Linked DNA regions of Caenorhabditis elegans. The protein of the gene in region 3 purifies or fractionates together with the protein of the main gene of each other region. This does not show direct contact. Each region holds a gene or a part of one and is shown on either strand. Other genes may lie near its edges.

Region 1 (4,341 bases), on a different chromosome or scaffold from region 3:
ATCTTTATTCCAAATGGCTCAACACGAAAATTGATGCCGACTTTCTTTAAAAGTTTTTGTGCACATATTTTGCATACATGAAAATGTTTATTCTATTAATATACACGGGGTTCCGGCCTTCCTCAATGGATTTTTCGCGCTCCATTGACAATCGCTCGCCGGACAACGCATGGGAAAGTGGTGCACTCCACTCGGACAAATGCATTTAGTTTTACAACTAAAATCGAGCCGCAACGCGCCGTAAATCTACCCCAGATATGGCCGAACCAAAATGGCCTAGTTCGACAAACTCTTCCATTTCAATTTATGAGGGAAGCCAGAAATCCGTGCAATATTTTGCCAGCAGTTTTCTACAACTTGTCGGCGGTGTTTGAAAACGTTTACTATATTGACAAAAGTTCGTCAGTTTTGCCGTTTTTGACAATTTCCGACAACTTTCGTCAACTTTCGACAATTATCAGTAACTTTCCACAATTTTCGATAGCTTCAGCCAACTTTCTGCACTTTTTCGACGCGACTTCCTTTATTATTTTTCACAATCAAGAGTTTAGAGTAAAGTGGAGAAAATGGGGAATTTTAAATTTAAAAAAACGAAAATTTTTGGAGGGCGGTGTGGTTTGAGATATCATCAATAGGGAGACCCATTCAGTGAACAAAATATGGACAATTTTATGGGGAAAAATGAGCAAAAGGGCTCAGGAGGAATCACACAATATTCACAAAAAAATATTCGTTGAAAAAATATGGAAAGTGGGAAAAATAGAGGGAAAATGGGATTTTTCGAGCAAAAAATTGGAAATCTTCACAGGAAAAATCGGAAAAAAAAATTTCTTAGCAAAAAATCGGAGAAAATTTTGATTTTTTCACTCAAAAACCAGCAAGAAATCAGGGAAATATCGGGGAAAATTAGGATTTTTAGCAGAAAAATGAGAAAAAGGTCGAAAAAATGGGAAATTAATCGATATTTAGACGCCGATTGAGTGCACTGACGTAGGCTTGATGAATCTGTGAAACGAATTCGTCGTCGGTTTGCATTAGGTGGGCGATTGCTGAGATGAACTGAAAAAATTTGAATTTTAGGGGGTTTTCGGTGATTTTTAACGATTTTTCACAAAAATCTGAGATTTTTAGATAAATTTCGCTTTTTTCCGGAAATTTTACCGCTTTTTTATAATTTTTAGGAAAAAACGGTACTTTTTTTAAAAGAGATTTCAATACCTAAGCTAGACTAAGCCTAAGCCTATGCCTATGCCTAAGCCTAAGTTTAAGGTTAGGCCTACGCCTACGCCTAAGCCCAAGGCTAAATCTAAAGGACAAGACTAAGCTTGAGCCTAGGCCTATGCCTAAGCCTGAGCCTCAGCATAAGCCTAAGCCTAATCCTAAGCCGAAGCAGAAGCCTAAGCCTGAGCCTGAACCTAGGTCTAGGCCTGAGCCTAAGCCTGGGCCTAAAATTTTCAGCTTAAGTATCGTAATTTCATGTTGAAAAACAAATAAAGTCGATTTCAAGCTTAAAAATTGCTCATTTTCACTGAGAAAGCAGATTTTTAGCTGGAAAACCTGAATTTTCCGTTAAAAAACTGATTTTTCGCATTTTTTAGCTCCAATTTCGAGCAAAAATGGGATTTTTGACAAAATTTTTCAACTAAAATAAAGATTTTTCATGTAAATTTTCGAGATTTCTCGTGAAAAATCAGTTTTTAATTGATTTTATCTAAAAAATCTGAGCTTTTCACTCAAAAAAAAAACGTTTTTCCAGCTCCAACCTGTTCTTTATTGAGAACAGGCGTCTGTTCACCACTTCCAACGACAAATGAAGCATCAAGTGGCTCTAAAATCTCTCCTTCAGCAATATCCGACTCCACATCACCCTCCGATCCATGCAAAGGCTTCGTCGAGACCGCCGCCAACGAAATCGCCGACGTTGAGTTAGTAAATTCTTGCAAAAGATGATTCCGATGCGGTTTTGCCGACTTTATAAGATCCTTCTCGAGCTCATCGGCCGACATTGCTGCTCCCGGCTCTTTGAGCATCAGCTTCTGGAGCATTGGCGGCATTTGTTCGATCGTTGCCGCAGATTTTTGCGGCGGATTTTGCGCACTTTTTATGAGCTGGAGAAGATCCACTTTTGGTGGGGCTTGAGGAGCCATTTGTGGAGCTTGAGCTGGAGCTGCTGGAGCCTGCGTTGGAGCCGGAACCGAAGCCTGTGGAGCCTCCGAGGCGGCCTTGGCGGCCCGAGCCTGCTCCGTAGTGCTTCCTTTCAGACGATTCACGAGTTTTTGCAACAAATTGTAGATTTTCTGAGCATCATCAATCTGGTGGAACCATAGTGCTTGAATTGAGGCCAAATCCTTGTAAAAGTAGATGAAATTTCCGTCGTGGCGGAGAATATGGTTGAGGGTGAGCGGCTCGATGAAATCCGATGGATCGTTGCGATTTGCGATGAGGAAACTGAAATAAATAAGTTTAAAATTGATTATTTTAGCTATTTTTGCATGTTTTCTTGCTTCTTCTCACCTAAAATATGGCCGATCAGCTCTCTGATAGACGAAAAATGTTCCTTCGCAATTCGACTGATTCCACTCTTTTCTCGCCGCATCGATATGATAAATCGCGGCAAATGGCATCTACAAAACCAATTTTTAGCTTTAAAATCCACAATTCTCTATGTTAAACCTTGTCGAGAATCTTGCTGGCGGCGATGTCGATTTTCTGGAGTTGTGCGAGGTTTTTCGCGGCTAGCTCGGCGGCGGCCTTTTTTTTAGCGTCGCTCATACTGGTTCCTGGATGAAAATGTTGAGTTTTCGATGAAAAATGATGAGAAAAGTGCAAAAAATCTGCGGAAATCGGTGAAAATCGCGAAAAAAACAAAGAAAGACAGAATTTAAATTGAAATTCTATGGTGTAGATTTACGGTAAACAGGGCGCGCTGCGGGATTTTGGAGTATCGTTGTAATTGTAAACTGAATTTTTAAAGCAAAAAATTTGTTTCTTAAACGAAAAAATCAGATAAAAATGCAAAATAATTCATTTAAACCGAGAAAATCAAATAAAAACATCAATAAATCAAATCTAAACAATCAAAGCGTCAATCTTCTTAGCCCACAACTCCACATTGTTCGGAAGGTGCTCCCCAAGGTTCAGAAGGCTTCTGAACACAATATCAGCGACACACACCTCCCATTGAGAGCTTAACGAGTCGAAACGAGCCAGGAACTGAGAAGCTTCACGTGTGACAAAGCTCTGATCACAGGAGCCGGCAAGGATTTGCTCGGCCTGAAAGAAAATTTGATTTTTTTGGGAAAGTTTCTAAAATTTCCTACTTTTCCCAGCCAAATCGCTTGATGACTGGCGCTGAGCACTTGTTGTGGCCGTCTAGAGAAGAGCCCGAGTGAAGAGCCCAACAGCTTCCAGATAGTTTGAAGGGATTTGACGGTAGTTTTTTCCAATTGCAGGGAGGGAGCAGGGCCTGAAAATATTGAAAATTAAGGGTATATCATAAAATTCTGATTTTTAGAGAAAAAATCCCGCACCTTTCACAACTTTCAGACTGGATTTCTTCTCTTTCGTCTGATTTTTGACTTCTCCCTCAAACGAGACTCCACGGCTTGCGCCGACCTTTGCGAGAGCCCGAGCCCACGGCAAATCCACGTCCCGCACTGTCAGCGTGGCGTTTTTCAGCTGCTCCTGCGGCTCGTAGGCCACAAGGGAGGTTGGGAGATTCACGGTGAGAGTCAGATTGGTCTCCCACGTCTTTCGGTCGTCCTGGACGGTCCATGGAGTCGAATTTACGGTCTTTTTCGCGGATTTCTGTGGTGGAGCCTCTCCGGAAGCCAATTTCTTTACGGCTTCTGCCTTGGCAGCCTTGCGAGCCTCCTTCTTGGCGTCCTTGTCTAGTTTTGCGGGGGCTCCGGGGACTCCGGGAGCTGAAGAGGCTGCTCCAGCGGATTTCTCAGGCTCTTTTGGCGCTTTTTCCGCAGGTTTTTGAGCAGATCTCTCTGCTTTTCCAGCCTCTCCAAGGCTTACCAGCAACTTCTTGAGCTCTTCGGTCTGTGCTTTGAGCTGCTCGATCAGTGAGAGCTGTTTGTGCTCCAAAGCCTTGCGCGGATCGGATTCTACCTGAAATTTCAGTTTTTTTTGAGCCAAAATCCGTCTATTACCTGCACCGCATCAGAAGGCCCGACTCCTCCGAAAGATGGATTATGATACGAACCTACTGGATAGCAGGCGATTTTCGGATGAACCTCAAAATTCGGTGGGAACGTCGGTGTCAGCTTGTACATTGGCATCGCGTGATTTACCCTGGAAAATCCTATTTTATACGAAATCTTGAGATTTTTGAGA
Region 2 (4,128 bases), on a different chromosome or scaffold from region 3:
TTCGAGAAAACAAATGAATAATTTGATTTTTTAAAGGAGGTCTCCGCTTTTGGCAGCGAAGCAGAAAGTGACACGGGAGATGATTGGACTGTGATTTGCAACGGAGATGAGTGGTTGGAATCCGAGGTTTGTTACATTCCTTTTCGATATTATCTATACGTTTTGAATACCCTATATTGTTCACTTTAGCAATTCAAACTTCGCCACGCTGTCACTGGTTCATACCTCTCACTCTCGGGACAACAATTCGGACGCCCCATTCATGGACAACGGGAGGTCGTCGGCACCGACTCGATCACTGGTGGAAGTGCATGGAAAGTTGCCGAAGGCATTTACATCAAGCATCAGCAAAAAGATCTTTAAATCCACATTGGATACTCCTAATTTAATAAGCCATGCCTTTCTTCGTGATATTTACCATTGCTTTACGGGGATGTTATCTTTGTTATTTTTTCTAATAAAGTTATTAGATTTTGTCTTCTGAAAAATTATTGGCAACTGATCTAAATACCGGGGATAAAATACTACATTGATGCACAGAAAAATAAAAGACCGAATAAATTAAATGTATATGATGCGATAGGGTAAAAGAAAAAGAGATTGGTGGAGAAGTGGACATGAGGATACAATCAATGTTCTGAGTTTGTTTATCACTTCTTTGGAGTATTAGGGGTTGATGATTTACTGTCCTTTTCCTTTTTCTCATCCTTCTTTTCATCCTTTTTGTCTTTCTTATCCTTTTCATCCTTCTTTTTCTCAGCTTCGCCAGTTTCCTGCTCCTTTTCAGCCTTCTGGAGAGAGATCTAAAAATCATAGCTTTTAATAAATTTTAAAATCTTTGCAAATCACCTTGTTATCAATTAAGTTGTGCAAAGCGACCACCGATCGTACAAGAGATCCCATATACACACACATGAGCTGATCATTAGTTTGCACATTCTGTGAAACAATGTAGTCTGGATGAGTGACGTCAGGCAGGAGATTGAGAACTTCTTGAACATAGTAAATGACATGATGGTTGACTGGAAGAGTTCCGCGCACAATATCATGAAGATACTTCTCAATGGATTCAAGCTGTGATTGCAGTCCTCTCAAGCCCATAAGTTGATCGGTGATACGCTGTGAAAGAGTTCCAGCAGTTTGGTCCTTGATATCTCTCAAAAGATGCTCGACTCCAACTTCCTCAGCTTCTTCGGCTCCGATATCTGAAGGCACATGCTCGAAGGTTTTGATTGGTGGAGTTCCATCCTACAAAACAATATATTGAAAAAAAATTAAACAGTATTTTGAAACGTACATCGTGAACTTCCTGAACTTCGATGTAAGCCTCTGTTGGCAATCCGATGTTCTTTGGCTCAGCATCGATAATTACAAGAACCGGGTTCGGGCAGAATCGTTTCAATTGCTCGTTGATAGCAATATCGTTCTGTAAAATTAATAAATAAATAATTAATTAAACTGTTGAAGTTGAACACCGTAATTTTGCAAAAATCAGGGTGGCACAGAAAGTAAGGCGGAGCGTAATTTCGCAACACTGTGACACGGTTTTTTCTTTTTTTTTTGTCAGGTATCCACTGCATTTTTTTCGATTTTTTTCAAAAGTTTTGATTTGATTTGTTTTAAGTTTTTTTTTTTTTGCTTTGTTGTTATTTGCACAGTATAATTTCAAATTTAAACAAGTTCGCGCTCCATCGATCATGAAACCGTAAAAACGGGTATCAGAACGGATATTATCGGTTCATAGAGATTCAGAGCCCAGTGATCCGTATGCAGTCATCACAAACCCGAGTGGAATGAGAAATCGAACCAATGGCTGGAGGCGCAGAGTGTGTGCCTGCTAGCCACTAGACCACTACGCGCGTTGTCCCCGTCTCTTTTTTGCCTCTTATATACCTTGTGAAGTTTTGGACCCGTATGATACCATCCGACGATTTTTTCCTTGGCGGCAACCTGTAAATTCATTTTTTTTGTTTAAAATTAAATAAAAACGAGATTTCAAAATTCACCAACCTTGTAGAACATTCCATACATGCTCTCCAAATAGTCCATGTCGAGGAACCATGTACTTTTATCCTTGTCATCTTCATCAAACGGAACTGAAAATTACTTTATAAGTAAGCAAATAAATTTTTAAAAATACCAGCAAAACTGTTTCCAATATCCAGAGTTTTGTCCTTTTTCATGGACCCCAAAAGGACTCCAACAACACGCTTCACGCTTTGAGTTTTGCTGACACGATTGAAATGATCAACAACACTCAGAAGAACCAATGGATGGACGGTCACCTTAAATAATTGTGTTTATTTAAAATCGAATTTTCTCGCTCAGGTATGCTAACCTTATTAACGGGAAGGTTTGCATGAACATTTCCAAGGCAATGATGGGCTCCAGCCTTTTGTTTGAGAACATCTACAGCTTTGACAGTCGCCACATCTCCGTCTTTGTTAGTTGGAGCCATTCTTCTAAAAAACGAAAATAAATTTATCACAATAAAAAATCAACACATAACAGTTTAACACGTTAATAATCGACATAACAGTGAGAAACGCTTAATCATTGCGGAAAAACCTGCCATAAACGTATCTAGAATATAATTTGAATGAAAAAATGAAAAGAAATAAATAAATAATGCTTAAAAACGACAATTTCCCGCTTCCCGTTCAAAAAAGAAATATCATCGTTTAAAGGCGCATGCAATTTCCCCGTAAATCGACACTGGCCGTGGTGAGACCCATCCCGTATTTCCACTTTATTTTTCCTGGTTCTTTACTTTAAAATTAACTTTTTTCGATTGCAATGACGGAAAATTAACTTTCTAATGCGAAAAATTGAAAATTGAACATTTATTTTATTGTTCTAGTAAATTTTTGTTTAATAATCTTGTGTTCACAGCCTGTCGTTGAAAAATGGCAACTTCCTATTTTGGAAAAATAGCTTGTGCTGTGATTTCTTATCGTGATTTTCATTGACATATTTCCAAATTCGTAGCATAGAAAATATTTTCAGTGAAGAAAAAGCATTCATACTGGGCGAGAACAACAATGCCGTTTTATGAAGTGAGCATGATCACACGATCTCTGTCAAAGGTACAGAAAAAACACGATGAAGCGTGAGAATGTGTATAATCATGAGAATATTCTTTATTTCAGGCAGATCTTGTTAAAGCTTTAACGCGTGCTGGAAACACTTTGCTGGATCACGGAGCAGTAATTGAAAAGGTTGAGTCACTGGGTCATCGAGATTTACCGTATAAACGGCTGGCCAAACAGACAAATGAGCCCGTCTACGCTTCAAAGTAATATTTAAAAACTATATATCTTAAAAAAATTGTTTGTTCTTTGCAGTTTCTTCCTCTTCAAGGCGCACATGTCTCGGGAAGCTAGACAGAAAACAAAGTCTATTTTGACACATGACCTGGACACGGTGAGTTAGTTAAATTTCATTATATATTATCTGATGTTGATGTATGATCGGGTCTTATTGTTTAAAAGTTTTCTTTGTTTAGATTCATTTCGAATGTTGTTTTGTTCTTTTTCTAAATTAATTTGTCACTTTTTGGTCATTACAAAAATCTGAACCATATTTTTTCAGGTTCAAGTCGATCTAATTCAAGTGGACACACTGCCGGCTCCAAAGGTTGAATGCAATCTGGAAGAAATCCTCAAATCTCCTGCCGAACGTCAAGCAGTCAAGGATTTGAGAGAAAATCAAAAGATGGGTCATTTCACGCGACAGATGATCTACAAACGTACTGAAAAGGAGTGGAAGAGTATCCCGAAGAGTTACCCAATTGCTCCGCCAAGGCCCTAGACATGAAATTCGTAATCGACTTAAATTTACGGGTCGAAGATCGCCGACAATGCACTTTTGGCCACACCTCCTTATGATAGTGTTATCAAACGAGGCTATCTTTTCGTACTTTGCGTTGTCTGTTTTCTCGATTCTTCTGTACAGTTTTAGGATTTATAGAGTGATTTTTGTTTTCTTAAAGTTGAATTGATTTGTTTTGTTTCATGAATATCACATTTTTATTTATTTATTTTTCTTCCTTCAAATCACGTACCTGGTTCATCTGACCAAGTGATATTTGTTCACTTTTCTATTGAAAGAAAATAACCTGTTTCACAT
Region 3 (5,146 bases):
ATTCATTAAAACAAGAAATCATTTCTGCATCAAAACAAAAATATTGGACCATTTTTCTGGAATACTTTTTGTTTTGCAGTGAAACTAATGAAGTTAGTGACTGAAGAGAGATAGAGAACAGTGAAATGTATTGCTACGTCTAAATTGTGTTTTCGATAAGAGTTTGTGTACATGAAATAGGTATGAGAAAGAATTTATTGAAAATGTGAGAAATACCGAAAGAAAAATCAATCATCTCACACTTTCATTAAATTTGGGAGGGGTTTATGTCTTATGTCTAAACTATGAATAATGAAAGTTTATCTTCTATCTGCAACAAATATTCACTGGAAAACAAACAAAACGGTAGAACTATCATATGTACAATACCAAAAATCAGAATCTACAGTTAAATACAATCAAATTAACAGGTGTGTTCTATTTATAAGTCCTCGTAAAGTCCCGCGAAAATCTTACCACATTGTCCAACATTTATGCGGTTGTCATCTACACCTGATATGAGAAAATGTAAAAGGCAATTGTTTAAATTGTTATAATCTTCCAAAAAGTTCTAAATTTTATTAAAATTTGTAAATAAAAAAAACAGTAATTTCTTATCAATTCGCCCAGAAGATTCTTTCCGTTATGCCAAGTTGTTCCTCCATAGTTCTCAATTCGTCTGATTCTCTCTGTAATAATGCATGTTTTTGGTGGTCTGGCCCTTGAATAATTTTAAAGTTTCTATTCGAATACAAAATTGAAAATTGATTTTTTTTCAATAAAAAACCTTAAAATTTTAAATTCGGTAAAAAAACTTGGGCGTTCAAAGTTAAAAACAAACCACGCAACAACTTTACTTTTCTTTCAAATGAAAATTAAATTCATACTTGAAGCTCCTCTCTTCTTTTCCTCAACTCATTCATTTTCTCTTCTGCTATTTTGTTCTGCCCATCTAGCACTTTTTCGAAATCTTGTCGCATTTGTTCCAATTCCTTTTTTGCGACTATTGAAAAATTATCGTCCAATTCAAAAACGCGTCTAGAGTTCCCAGGACTATTTGACAAACTTATTGTTTCCATAAATTGTGTTAATCTTGATATCCTTTTTTCGAACTTTTCCTCCAGTCTCATTTCCATTTCTTTCAATTTTAATTCAAAACTGTCTTCTAATTGGGACTTGATCTCATGAATTTTATCCACAAATTTTATCTGCAAAAAAAATTATAAAAAGAACTTTTAAAAATAATATATTTTTTAATTTTAACCTCAACTTCCAATTGATTTTTTTTTTGAAACTCGTCTTTTTTATCACAGGTGGTTCCAGTTTGATCAGCTTGTTGATTTTCGCCTAAAGGCACTTCAACCAGTTGTTTAGTATACTAAAACTATGATTGTTATTTTTAGGTAACAAATTAACACAACCTTTAAGCTCTTTGAATTTTCATTATTTTCTTGTAATTGTTTGGCTGTTGAATGATGTGAACTTTTGCCATCATCAGAAACATTTTGAATAGGAGATGATTGTCTCGAAGATTCTCTAAAAAAAATTATTGTTGAAGTAGATCTCTCTTAAGATATTTCAATTAAGAAAAACGAAAACTCACGATGCAATTTGATCATTTCTAAAATCTGGGCTGCTTCCAGTCCCAAGAATAATAGGTGACTTATGGACAAGTATTTTCTCATTAGGGATGCTGCTCCAGAAACTTTTCAAATCATCAATATCTTCAGATTCAAATTCACATGATTCTATTTTGAGCTTGTATGATTTTGCGTTCAGGCTAACTTTGTCGCTCGATCGAAACTTGACAGATAATTGCCTCGCTTCTCCAGGTTTCAGCAAATCTGAAGCAGTAGATTCAAATTGTATTTATTAGGGTGAGCAATAAGTTTTTTCGTATTTTCTCAGTTTTCATCCTTTCTGAAATATTTTGTATGTGGTACATAGTATTCTGTTAGTAGTGCAAAATATATTGAAACCATATATTTCCGCCCACTTCCAAACTGATTCATCCTCAAAACTTCGCTCGAAAAAAATATCCAATTTTTTCGATTTTTTCGGATTCTTTGGGAAATCCAAATTTTACTAAATTTCCTTCGTTCAAAAATATTACAAAAAATACATTTTGATTTTGAGAGGGTATAAAACCGACATCGTAAAAGATATAAATACGGATAAAACGACAATCTTGTTCTTCAGATTAATAGCAACATTTCTGCAGTTGAACACTTTTTGATATCTAAAACCAGTAAAAAGTGACAGGCTATTGAGTCAGAGGCACTCATTTTCGCTGAATCTGCCACATTCTTACATTTGCCTCCGTAGATTTGTTAAATCTTAATTTATCAGAAAGTGTTCAACTGCAATGTTGTTTATTACATATTTGTGCACAACTTTTCAGTTGATCAGTTTTTGATAACAATGTTATCCAGGAAGTTACAAGCGTTGGAACAAAAAACACCAAAGATTGAGAAAATTTCTCTAAATTTGAATCAAAAAAATTCGAGAAAAAAAAATTTTAAGATAACTTTGCGAATTGCACGTATTGCAAAAATCAAGTTAAGACAAAAACAAAAAACACATTATTACATGTTGTGATTTCATATTCAACAAGTTTGGTCGTTTTTGTGAAAAATGTTTTTGATAAATTCAGATTTAACAAAACTACGTAGGCAAACGTAAGAATGTGGCAGATTCAGCGAAAATGAGTGCCTCTGACTAAATAGCCTGTCACTTTTTACTGGTTTTAGATATCAAAAAGTGTTCAACTGCAGAAATGTTGCTATTAATCTGAAGAACAACATTGCAGTTTCATCCGTACTTATATTTTTTTACGATGTCGGTTTTATACCCTCTCAAAATCAAAATGTATTTTTTTTGCTGTAATTTTTTGTAATATTTTTTATATTTTTGAACAAAAAGGGAAAAAGGTATCTAATACTGCTCAGTTCTGAATTTAATTAATATTATGTATACAACTAATGGTCTAATACCTCACGGAGTACTGACATTTGGATTTCCCAAAGAATCCGAAAAAATCGAAAAAATTGGATATTTTTTTCGAGCGAAGTTTTGAGGATGAATCAGTTTGGAAGTGGGCGGAAATATATGGTATCAATATATTTCGCACTACTAACAGAATACTATGTACCACATACAAAATATTTGAGAAAGGATGAAAACTGAGAAAATACGAAAAAACTTATTGCTCACCCTAATACATAAGTAATTTTTTGAGAAAAGTTTTCTAATAAATGTGACTTACCAGGATTTGGTCGACTGACATACATATTTGGTACACTCGTTTTCACTTTGAAACATACTGGTTTCTCAGATATATTTTTCAGAGTAACATAGGCAGTATCAGTCAGATTTGTTGATTTATTGAACACAAAATTGTCGCAGGGAGTCACTTCAAGAAGAATTGTTTTACCACACATTCCTGAACACATTCAAAATTAGCGAAGAAACGTTCAAAGAGCAAAGAAACTTTCAAGAAAATGAGAGAAACGTTTTTCGAAAGAACAAACGCTACGAATTGCTATGACTAAAACGCGAGAGAGATGCTGATAAGATTGTTTACAAATTAATGTTGATCACACAACTAAACAAATCTTTTTTATTTTGAGAACACAATATTTTTGTCTTCAAAACATAAAATCATGCTCACAAGTATAATTATGGAGTCTTCCACTTCTGAGTGTTTTTTTTTCAATAAAAACTCACTCAAAAACTCATAAAGATTATAACATCATTTTCAGCATCTTAAAAACGTTTTTTTTAGTAATTATTATAACCCCAAACATTCATTTACAATTACTTACAATAGCTAAAAGATAGCTAAGATTTGTGTACATATTTCAACATCTTACAAAAATTCATTCCAAATAAATTGCAAAAAAAGTTCCACAGTTAGAAGAAAACAAATCATGATAAAACATATTCGAAACTTGAGAGATTATAAAAACCACGATTTCACTTTTTAAATGTTTTATTCTCTACGACGTCTCAATGTGAGTTCAACTCTGTTTTCTACCTTCTGCAAAACTGATTAGGTTGAACATTAGACTCTTCCCTAATTTTGTCAAAACTAACCAGCGATAGGTTGATAGGATAGATAGGGTTGTTGAAAGAGACGAAGTAGATTTACGAAACACTGTTTTGAACACGGAAAATGAAAGCAGATCTCCGATGTTTGATGAACACAGAGACGGTGTGTAGAAAACTGCCTTGAAAATATCATACTTTTTGGATGTTTTCAATTTTCCTCCAAAGGCAAGAAACTTGTTTAAATTTCTCTAAGTTTCTATAATTTATTTGTGATTCTGAAGGCATCGAAGTATGTCGATTAAAAGAAATCAATTTTTCATTCAGTGAATATAATTTGTAAATACATATGTATGTATGAAGTGAATATAAATATAAATTATCTATATCACTTAACAAATAACACATTTACTTTCAGAAGTACAAACTTCTTCTGCTTGAACATTGTCTTGTTCGTGGATCACGACGTAACTCTTGAGGTGTATCTTCGGGAATTCTAACTGCTCATAGTTGGAAACGACGGCTTTTTTGCAAATTTTTCGTAGTGATGTTGTTGTCGGAATGTCACTGAGCTTTATCATAAAAAACAACTTTTCGAGTTGTTTATACCATTCGTGGGACGGGGCGTTCACATCAAGAATATTCAGAATCGATGATAAAACAAGTGCAAAATCAATTATACTTTTCTGAAAATTGGATTTTCATTGGAAAGATAATACACACGAGAGTACCTGTAGAACTTTGATGAATAATGCATCTGTAGCTATGTCATGTTGTTCACCGAGTTGGATAAACAGAAACTCAAGAGTATCAAATAGGCTTAATACACATTCTGAAAGAATTGATATTTCTTCATATGCATCTTGAAGTGATTCCGACGGTAAGCGTTTAAAATATTTCCATTCACGCGCCTAAATGTTTAAAAAAATTATGTTTAAACACTAGCAAATGCAAATTACCACATTCTGAAAATCTCGAAAATATTCTAGGAATCTCTTGATCGGTTGCTTATAGCAATTTTGAATCCAATCAGCAACTTTTTCTTCCTTTTCCTCAAATCTTTGTTTTAATCTGATACATTCAAATAGTGCAATAAAACGATTTTTCATTTGACTTTGAA

Evidence for each region. Proteins that work in one complex are often made in the same cells at the same time.
Region 1: the proteins of ZC196.2 (region 3) and dcap-1 fractionate together in Caenorhabditis elegans (co-fractionation; one large-scale study listed by BioGRID). This does not show direct contact.
Region 2: the proteins of ZC196.2 (region 3) and rpn-8 fractionate together in Caenorhabditis elegans (co-fractionation; one large-scale study listed by BioGRID). This does not show direct contact.

The regions. Positions count from the first base shown.
Region 1 is NC_003282.8:1,052,015-1,056,355, forward strand, and holds dcap-1 (mRNA-decapping enzyme 1), read right to left. Parts: upstream 2,781-4,341; 5' UTR 2,773-2,780; coding exon 2,674-2,772; intron 2,625-2,673; coding exon 2,515-2,624; intron 2,449-2,514; coding exon 1,764-2,448; intron 1,060-1,763; coding exon 955-1,059; 3' UTR 510-954; downstream 1-509. Other genes in the region: Y55F3AM.13 (FH2 domain-containing protein), read right to left, coding at 3,070-3,273, 3,321-3,466, 3,531-4,116, 4,158-4,286. UniProt on the Caenorhabditis elegans protein: Component of the decapping complex necessary for the degradation of mRNAs, both in normal mRNA turnover and in nonsense-mediated mRNA decay.
Region 2 is NC_003279.8:4,173,653-4,177,780, reverse strand, and holds rpn-8 (26S proteasome non-ATPase regulatory subunit 7), read right to left. Parts: upstream 2,463-4,128; 5' UTR 2,459-2,462; coding exon 2,339-2,458; intron 2,286-2,338; coding exon 2,141-2,285; intron 2,097-2,140; coding exon 2,011-2,096; intron 1,951-2,010; coding exon 1,894-1,950; intron 1,785-1,893; exon of another isoform or gene 1,717-1,784; intron 1,427-1,716; coding exon 1,298-1,426; intron 1,249-1,297; coding exon 850-1,248; intron 804-849; coding exon 651-803; 3' UTR 510-650; downstream 1-509. Other genes in the region: R12E2.13 (MIR domain-containing protein), read left to right, coding at 37-126, 190-363; mrps-6 (Small ribosomal subunit protein bS6m), read left to right, coding at 3,042-3,086, 3,150-3,295, 3,345-3,423, 3,592-3,810.
Region 3 is NC_003283.11:8,737,710-8,742,855, reverse strand, and holds ZC196.2 (Major sperm protein), read right to left. Parts: upstream 3,421-5,146; 5' UTR 3,420-3,420; coding exon 3,245-3,419; intron 1,824-3,244; coding exon 1,583-1,823; intron 1,516-1,582; coding exon 1,401-1,515; intron 1,358-1,400; coding exon 1,244-1,357; intron 1,188-1,243; coding exon 867-1,187; intron 669-866; coding exon 597-668; 3' UTR 545-596; downstream 1-544. Other genes in the region: ZC196.3 (DUF713 domain-containing protein), read right to left, coding at 4,419-4,712, 4,758-4,937, 4,986-5,146.